Bombyx mori: one gene and its partner. The protein of the gene in region 1 purifies or fractionates together with the protein of each later gene. This does not show direct contact. Links are inferred from orthologs where the notes say so. Each region holds a gene or a part of one and is shown in the gene's direction. Other genes may lie near its edges.

Region 1 (4,437 bases):
TTTAATTAGGCCAGTTATCTAAGGGTATCTGTTATCTTACTTTTGTAATTAAATATTTTATAAATTGAAGCGCGAGAGATACGTTACACAATACAATTATGATTTCGACCTCATGTCTCAAGGTAGGCAGGGGCCTGACGCAGCTAGCCAATGCAATAAAAAACTGAGATCCTCTTTCGATAATATAATTTAAAATGTTTGTAATTGAAAAGTTTAAAGGAGCCTAACCACGCTAAAGATGTTTAAAACATAAGCTTGCCTAAACAAATCCGGAGAAAAAGCATTCAATACCGTGATGTCGATCTACCAAGGAATAACCCCGTTTGGAGGAAGGTCACTTTGTCGTTTTTTGTACCTAGTTACTGAATCGAAAATGGTTATTTTTAGAAACCAGCACAACTAGCCCTTTCTGTAGCGCTCCTAGTTTCCTACAAGCTCTCAACCTTGGAATAGAACCTTAGGTACGCAAATGCCAATCTTAAAATTGAAATAATTATCAAAGTAATTTTGCTAATTCAATTATAAAGAAAAGTGGCTGGAGCAAACGACCCCCTCTGCTTATTAGTGGGCTTTGCGAGGGCGGTAAAAGGATCTATTGTTGTATGACAAATGTTCCAGTGTCATACAAACGACGTTTGACGTGAGAACAAACCATATTGCTCTCAACCCAGAATAGCAGTTTTTTAAAGAGTGAAAAAATAGATTTTCGTTTCAAAACATTTGTTGGAATTTTATTTTTAGGATACCTAAAATAATAGCTGTCGGTATTTTTATTGATTAGATAGATTGTAATAATAAATAAATGTCCTGGATAAATAGATTCGTCCAAAAGGCTTTACAATCTCTCAGTGTAAAAAAATTGCACGTTGTAATCTCAAGTGGTTTCAAATTTCAATGATAAAACAATTTTTTTTACTTTGTTTTTATGTTCTAACCAGAATCTCGAGGATATAAAAAAAGTCATTTTTCTTTTCAGCTTCCTCTTTATACAGGCATGCTTTTTTTTTGTTTTTAATGCATATTTCCTAATTTTATTGAAAGATTCTATGGATTCCTTGTTAGAAGTTGATATTTTCAATATAAACATTGCGAACCAAAGTATCTGATAGACGTGTATTAAAATGCTGGATTAGTAAATAAAATAAGATTTATAAGACGCGGCGTTTTATAAGAAAAAGTGAATTGAGCTCGCTATAAATTATTACTAATTTTTTTTTTAGTTCATATCATTCAACACCTACGGTTTAATCTTTTCTGACGTTAAATTATATAACTTAATAATAAAATTTGCTCCATTTTACTTTTTATATTATGTAACAAAATCTTGGCATAGGCCTTTGTTACGAAATTTTTGGCTGTATGGGCTATATTCTCTTTTCATATTTGATGGAAAAAATATGTCAATAAAAAACTGTCAATTATCTAGTGCTCTACTTCTATTCTATGTTCTGTAATCTGTAATTAATATGGTATTGTTTCGAATTGCTTCAATTTCGGATTTAATATTAATGTATACATTTTTGGAAATATAAATTAACATCGCTGAAATGTTGACTTTATAAGTTGGATGACATTGTATACAAAATGGGTACCAACGGCAATGGTCGTCGCGGAGGTACTAAATTACCGGATGTTCGCCGTCCCCTGGAAGAAGGAGATTGCGTTAACGACATGGAGAGCCCCGAGCTTGACTTCGTCTACGATGACTGTGATACTCAAGCCAACGAAATTGCTGAAATATATAGTTACACGGAACATCCCGAATATCAGCTAAACGTTAAGGCTTTTGAGGATATAATGGAAGAATTTAATCATCCACCGAGTTGGCAAAGACTAACAAAAAAACAACAACAAACTGTAGTAATGATGCTATTGGAACATCTCGATGTAGCTATCTCCGAAATTCGTATGCGTGCTATTCGTTGCATTCTCTATCTGGCCCAAGGGTGCTGGGCAGAAATGCAATCGGATGCCGAACAAGGACATTGGGCTCGAGTGAACATTATGACATTATATGAAATGGGAACATTTTCAATATTTGTGGAATTGCTCAACCTCGAGATTGTTCATAGTAGCTCAGCTATAGCTTCAAGAAAATTGGCAGAATCGTTAGCTGACTCTACAAACTTGCGAGTGATACTGACAGTTCTATATCTTATAACTGAATACATGAGAACAGAGAAAAACAGCCCAGATTCTGAGTATGCACATCTCGTGAAAAATTTTACTGAAGAATTAGGCACACCATTTGGTGATGAGTTGTTACCTGTGAAACTATTAAGTATGGTTACGCATTTGTGTGCTGGGACTACACCACACTTTCCAATGAAGAAAGTTCTCTTACTTTTGTGGAAAGTGTTATTAGTTTACTTGGGTGGCTCAAAGGAACTAAAAGAAAGAAAAGCAAAGTTGAGGGAGCAGCATGGGCTCCCTCCCATCAGTGAAGATACGTTGGAAGTAATAAAGGGAATGAGAGCCAGTTCACCACCTCCAAATGCTGCAGATGTGTTAGAAAATCAAAATCCTAGTCAAAGAAAAGTAAAGGAAAATGAAAGAGCCCTGAGGAGACAAACATTTACTAAACAGACTTCTCTAGATGAAACTGATGAACAAATATTTGTTGACAAAGAAGACACTGGAAATGGATCTGAAGATTATCCTATGGAGTTTCAGTCAATGTCAAGTGACAATCAGCAAGGTGAAAATAGCCAAAATTGTCCATATTATGTATACTTTAAACAGTTGGATAGTCCACCACCCCCACCGCCACTACCCCGTAGTCTGCCATGGCAGTCAAAGGTTCGTCAAAAAGATATTGATATGTTTCTAGATAATGTCCGCATTAAGTTTGTAGGCTATTCTTTACCAGGTGATAGACAAACAATAGCTGGACTGCCACAGCCCATCCATGAGGGTATTGAGATATTAAAGAAACACATGTACACAAGTCTATCAGAAATCCAAGTTGAGAGAGAAATTGAGATTGCATGGAGTCCTCTTACTAGGGGAGAAAAATATGTAGAAGAAACTGAAGCAGAAATTCTATATAGAGCTATGCTACCTAATTTGCCTCAATACATGATTGCTTTGCTAAAGATACTCTTGGCTGCAGCTCCCACTTCAACTGCAAAAACATATTCTATTAATATTATGGCTGATTTGTTACCTGAAGAAATGCCCATGACAGTTCTCCAATCCTTAAAACTAGGCATAGATGTAAACAGACACAAAGAAATTATTGTGAAAGCTGTCACAGCAATCCTATTACTCCTCTTGAAGCATTTTAAACTAAATCATGTCTACCAATTTGAATTTATGTCACAACATTTAGTTTATGCAAACTGTATGCCGCTGGTTCTCAAGTTCTTCAATCAAAACATACTGTCTTATGTAGGAGCCAAGAATTCCATCCCAATATTTGATTTCCCTGCTTGTGTTATTGGTGAACAACCAGAATTAACTAAGGAATATTTAGACATTGGAGATTCCTCTGTTCCATATTCGTGGAGAAATGTATTCTCATGCATAAACTTATTGAGAATTTTGAATAAATTAACAAAATGGAAGAATGCTAGGATCATGATGCTAGTTGTATTCAAAAGCGCACCAATTTTGAAAAGAACATTAAAAGTAAGACATGCCTTGATGCAGTTTTATGTACTGAAATTACTAAAAATGCAAACTAAATATTTAGGAAGACAGTGGCGAAAAACAAACATGAAAACAATAAGCGCAATATATTCAAAAGTTCGTCATCGATTAAATGATGATTGGGCATTTGGAAATGATGTAGATGCAAGACCTTGGGACTTTCAAAGTGAGGAATGTGCATTAAGAATCAGTGTAGACAGATTCAACCACAGGAGATATGGTACAGGTACAGAACAAGAAATTGATCTGACTCCCTTGGACACAGACATAAACAGTGTCCTGGAGAGTAACATAGAGTTAGATGAAGAGTTCAAAGAGAATTATGAATTGTGGCTCGAACAAGAAGTCTATAATAATGAGATCAACTGGGATGTCTTATTATCTACATAGAGTTTAATCTTTTTGGCCAATAGAGGCAAGTACATGGTTTGGCTTGCAAGTTGAGAAATGGTTGTACTTTCTGTATTATCTGTTATTGCTACGAGAGATAGGCAAAATGAGAATGCTACTATTACTGATAGATTATAGGGGAGTAGTAATAGCCCGAGACCTGGGTCACATAATTGAATCTACTTAATTTTTAATTGGCTAGACTATTATCATATAAAAACTCTCTTTAAGAACAAATAAAAACATAAAATGTAGACCTTTGACAATTTTGATGTTAAATTATATTATTAAATATATGCAATATGTAAAATTAAGTGTCCTTTTTTTTTGTTGAATTACACTTATTTTCTGTAATGAAGTTTACTAAGGTTTATATGTACTTGTGTCCAAAAACGC
Region 2 (4,291 bases), on another chromosome or scaffold:
TATTGTTATAACTACATAGACAATCCTACAAACCTGTACCTATTTATACTTAGTTCGTTTCCATTTTACTTATTCTCATCCCAATTGACCCCTTTTTCGTAGTTATTTGTACCTGAGACGTCCCCAATATCCCCAAAAACAACAGATTTTTACATGTATTTTTATTTTATCAAAAACATTAAAACCAATAACAACTGAGACTTACCTTTAATATATATGATGGTTCAAACACTAAACAACTTTTATAAATCACAGTCGTCTTCTATTATAATCAGCAAAATAAAAGAAATCAAAGTTTCTAACACTAAAATAAAACCACCACAAGAAGTTAATTTGAAATGCAATTTTTATAAGTTAGCAGCTATTATCATGCATATTCAGAGTTGTTTTGTGAACTTTTAACGTTCTACTATTACACTACAAAAAATAGAAGATTTTGCAACGATTAAAAAACTAATATTGAGCGTCGAAAGATTTTCCTGGTTTTTTCCCCATTCGCCTCTCAATCCGTGATGACCCCATTTTACGGTATGGAAAGTAAGTTAAATTGCATTTTCGACGTTGGCAATTTCAAATTTATAATTATTGAGTAAAATCCAAATTAATAAATTAAACTGTCACAAATACTTAGTGATTTTAAATAAACACAGTTTTTTCATGAAAGTACTTAACTCGTATAGTTGGTATATCATTATTAAAATATATGTTTCAACGATAGTCCTACAATTACAAATTAAATAAATACACAGCAGAGTTCATTAAAATTAAGTTGCATTGACAATATACCCATTTTGTAACGTTCATGATATGAAAAGAAAAAAAAACAGCAAAAAAGTTTAGGATAAAAAGAAATAATACAATCTATATTACCCGTTCTTATACTTTCGCAGTTGTGGCCGACTTTTTGAGACTGTCTGACTTTTGTCATTTTTTCAATGTTTTTTTATTGATGATCACTTTAACTAAACTAAATAAATAAATTAATTAAAACCAAGGAGTGCCAGCCCTAGCAAATTTCTCTATTAACACTAATTTCGTCCCCAATAACCACAATTTGTGGGCATACGTCATGAATGAGCTCACGGTGCTCAACTTAGTAGGACTTTTTGACTTGATGGACCAGATAGCAATCGCGATCAACTGAGAAGATCTGGCGACCCCAGAAACCCATTCTACTTTTGGATGGTGTCAAACTAAATCGCCAATATCTTAAGCCGTAGTTGTATTTTTTTGTGACTGGAAATGGTATATAATTGCACCCGTCCGAGTCGGTACTGCTATCATTTATGCTACAAAGCAACAGCAATAATATTACGCGACTTAGTTTAAACGTACCACTTTAAATCAACGTAGACAGCATAGAGATGTTCTTTCAGATTAAGGATCTGATGACTACTTGACAGCAGTTAATCTCGTCATTTTAACCATGTAAGATCTATAAAATCTATAATTTACATCGATAACATTAATTCAGTTGAGTTTAGTACTTAATCCCTGTAGGTTTTTTATGTTAGAAAATCTAACCGTTTGAATAGGGCAACATTTTAAAAGCAATGTAGCGAACGGACGTCGATGAGACTTTTCTTTCCGTCATGCAATAATTTTTGTCATTCATGAAATCGTCGATAAAAATTATTTTAGATGGTGGCACATCTGTGGACGTTGTTTGAAAAATAGTATTTAATAATGTGTTAGTATTTCATTTTAAATAGTTCTTGGTCATAGTTATAATAGGTGTGTGACAAGTTTAGTTCGGTAATGGTGGCCATGTCATGAAAATCCCTACAGCCATGGATGATAACTCCGTATCTCATCACAACGGAGGGCAAGTGGGATCTCAAATTGGAGTCAGTGTAAATAATAAACAAAATGAAGAACCCAGTCAAAGTGTTCAGTATTCAATACCGGGCATTTTGCATTTTATCCAACACGAATGGGCGAGATTCGAACTGGAGAGATCACAATGGGAGGTGGACAAAGCAGAATTTGAGGTATTATTATTTATATTTTTTATTTGATAACATCTTTGTCGATTACAGTGGTTTGCTATGAATATTATACCATATTCAATAATGTGCTTTGGAAGTAGACAATTGAAGTACTTTATCCTACTAAAATTAGTATTTAACATTTTTATGTATATGCTACTTAGAGAATTACAATATTTTTAACTACTAAATATAGTACTACTAAGTATATGCTTAGAAGTGTTAAGAAATAAAACATTTATCAGTTAAAAAGCAACACCTATTTGACTGCTTTATTACAATGTTAGTTAACATCCTGTAATAAAAAATAAATTGAGAAATTATAATTTATAAGTCTAAAACCAACAAAGAAACGTATTCAAATTATCTCTTTCATAATAAATTGAATCGCATGTATAGTGAGAATATTGTCAATGTTAGTTAAACAGTAAAAAATTTTTTTTGAAAGCTAGAAAATTTATATTTGTTTTACCTAAAAATTAACATTCACATATTTGAAAGGAAAATATTCTATGCTACATTGTTTAAATGGTATATATATTACGGTTAATTCAAAAAGTTTTTACCCAACATCTTTGTATAATATTACTTTTGAGGGGTAGTACATTGCGCCAATATGATTAGTTCTTACCGTTATGAGGTTAGGGAAATTTTAGTTTATTCCCCTACACCGTTTTGCTTATTTTTGCTGGTTCAGTTTGAGCAGGTTGTTTTAAAGTGAATGATATTGCATGTGCAGTAAAAAGTAATCATCAATTTTGTTGTTTTTATAAATGATGATGGGAATTAATGGTAATGTTAAATAGGCAGTGGTTTGTCATACAATAAAGATGCTAAACAATTAAATACTTTAAAAGTAAACTACATAATTGTAACCAGTAACATGTTTTTAATAAATTCATTTGAACAAGTTCTTAAGCAAGGCTATTATTAGATAAAACTATGTTTTATCACTCAAGTGACTAAAACTGAGTCAAACCCAGAAGCCTCAAATCTTCAAAATATCAATCTTAGAAACCTCCGTAATCTTGGAAGCTTGCAGGGATACTTTTTGGTACTGTTGCATTAAACAGGTCCATTTTAATCCAACAGTAATCAATAGTTTAGAAGCAGTAAGGACCAATGGTGATTTTGTTGCGCGGTCATAAAAAGCTAGTAAGTCCTCCATCCCTCTCGGATTCTGTGAGATAGCTATGTTGTAGAAATGGTCTATGGCCTATCTAGAAGTTTTTAAAAAGTATTGATAAGTATTTGTCTCTCACTTTCCAAGTTTTACCCAACTAGAATTGAGGTATTTTTCTTTTTGAGGAAGAACTGAGTTACAATTGAAAACTTAAATTCATAAAATAGTATATTTTAGCTGTTATGATATTTTCCCTCTAAGATTACAGATTGATTAGTAAGTTTATAAAAGGTATTCCACAAGCTTTTGTTTCTATTCTATTTTAATTCATATTTTATTGTTTACAAGAGTAAATGAGTCTATACTATACTCGGTATAAATTGGTTACTATAGCCCATAAACATCAATGTAATTTGTACCACTTTAAGTCATGAATCAAAGCTGCCATTTATTGTATGACAAATATCTCACCCTTCAAACTGGAATGCATGACCACTTCACTGCAAAAATAGGTATAGTGACCTGTTCTACCACCGGTAGTTGCCGATTAGCGATTCCAGTGAACTCTTATAATACTATGAGAATGCTGGTGCCCTATCTCAGGTGAATCCTCAATCGCCTTTAACGACATCCATGAGAAGATATGGGCAAAGCTATTTTAAGCTGACACCACAGTCAATTCTTGCAAAGTGCTCACTAAGCAGGCAAGTCTGCAAGTGTGCAGTTAAAATTTATTTGCAATATGGAAAAAGAGAATAGGAAAGTGGGTACTAGTGCAGGTATTTGATAGCCATGCAATAACCTTCAAACCTATTAAAGCTGTGGCAAAGGAGAATGGAATCAAGAAAATTGACTGGTGGGTTGAAAGTTACGGATTATTGCCGAGAGAGAGATGGGTGCTAAGCCCCAGCGTTAAACTGAGTGTGAAATGTTCTCAGTCACAATTTACCAAGCGAAGTACGCGTGAATCAGTTCCAGAAACACCAGACCACGATGCGTAGTACCCTGGGTTTGCAGCCCCAGTGTCCTTATTGCAGGGTTCCAGGCGTGGCTCGCCTCACTATTCGAAGTCTGCACCGAGCACCTTATTTTGGGTCTCAGAGCCATGTCCTGACCAATATAAATGATACTTCGAAGAAGACGATGCGATATCCTCGAATTGCGCTGACAGAGAACACAT

The links.
Region 2: the proteins of striatin-interacting protein 1 (region 1) and striatin-3 purify together in Drosophila melanogaster (affinity purification with western blotting; 4 studies listed by BioGRID, with this or other methods). This does not show direct contact. The link is inferred for Bombyx mori from reciprocal best matches to the Drosophila melanogaster genes Strip and Cka.

The regions. Positions count from the first base shown.
Region 1 is NC_085115.1:8,792,532-8,796,968, reverse strand, and holds striatin-interacting protein 1, read left to right. Parts: upstream 1-1,391; 5' UTR 1,392-1,584; coding exon 1,585-4,041; 3' UTR 4,042-4,355; downstream 4,356-4,437.
Region 2 is NC_085118.1:7,132,267-7,136,557, forward strand, and holds the start of striatin-3, read left to right. Parts: upstream 1-1,379; 5' UTR 1,380-1,772; coding exon 1,773-1,991; intron 1,992-4,291.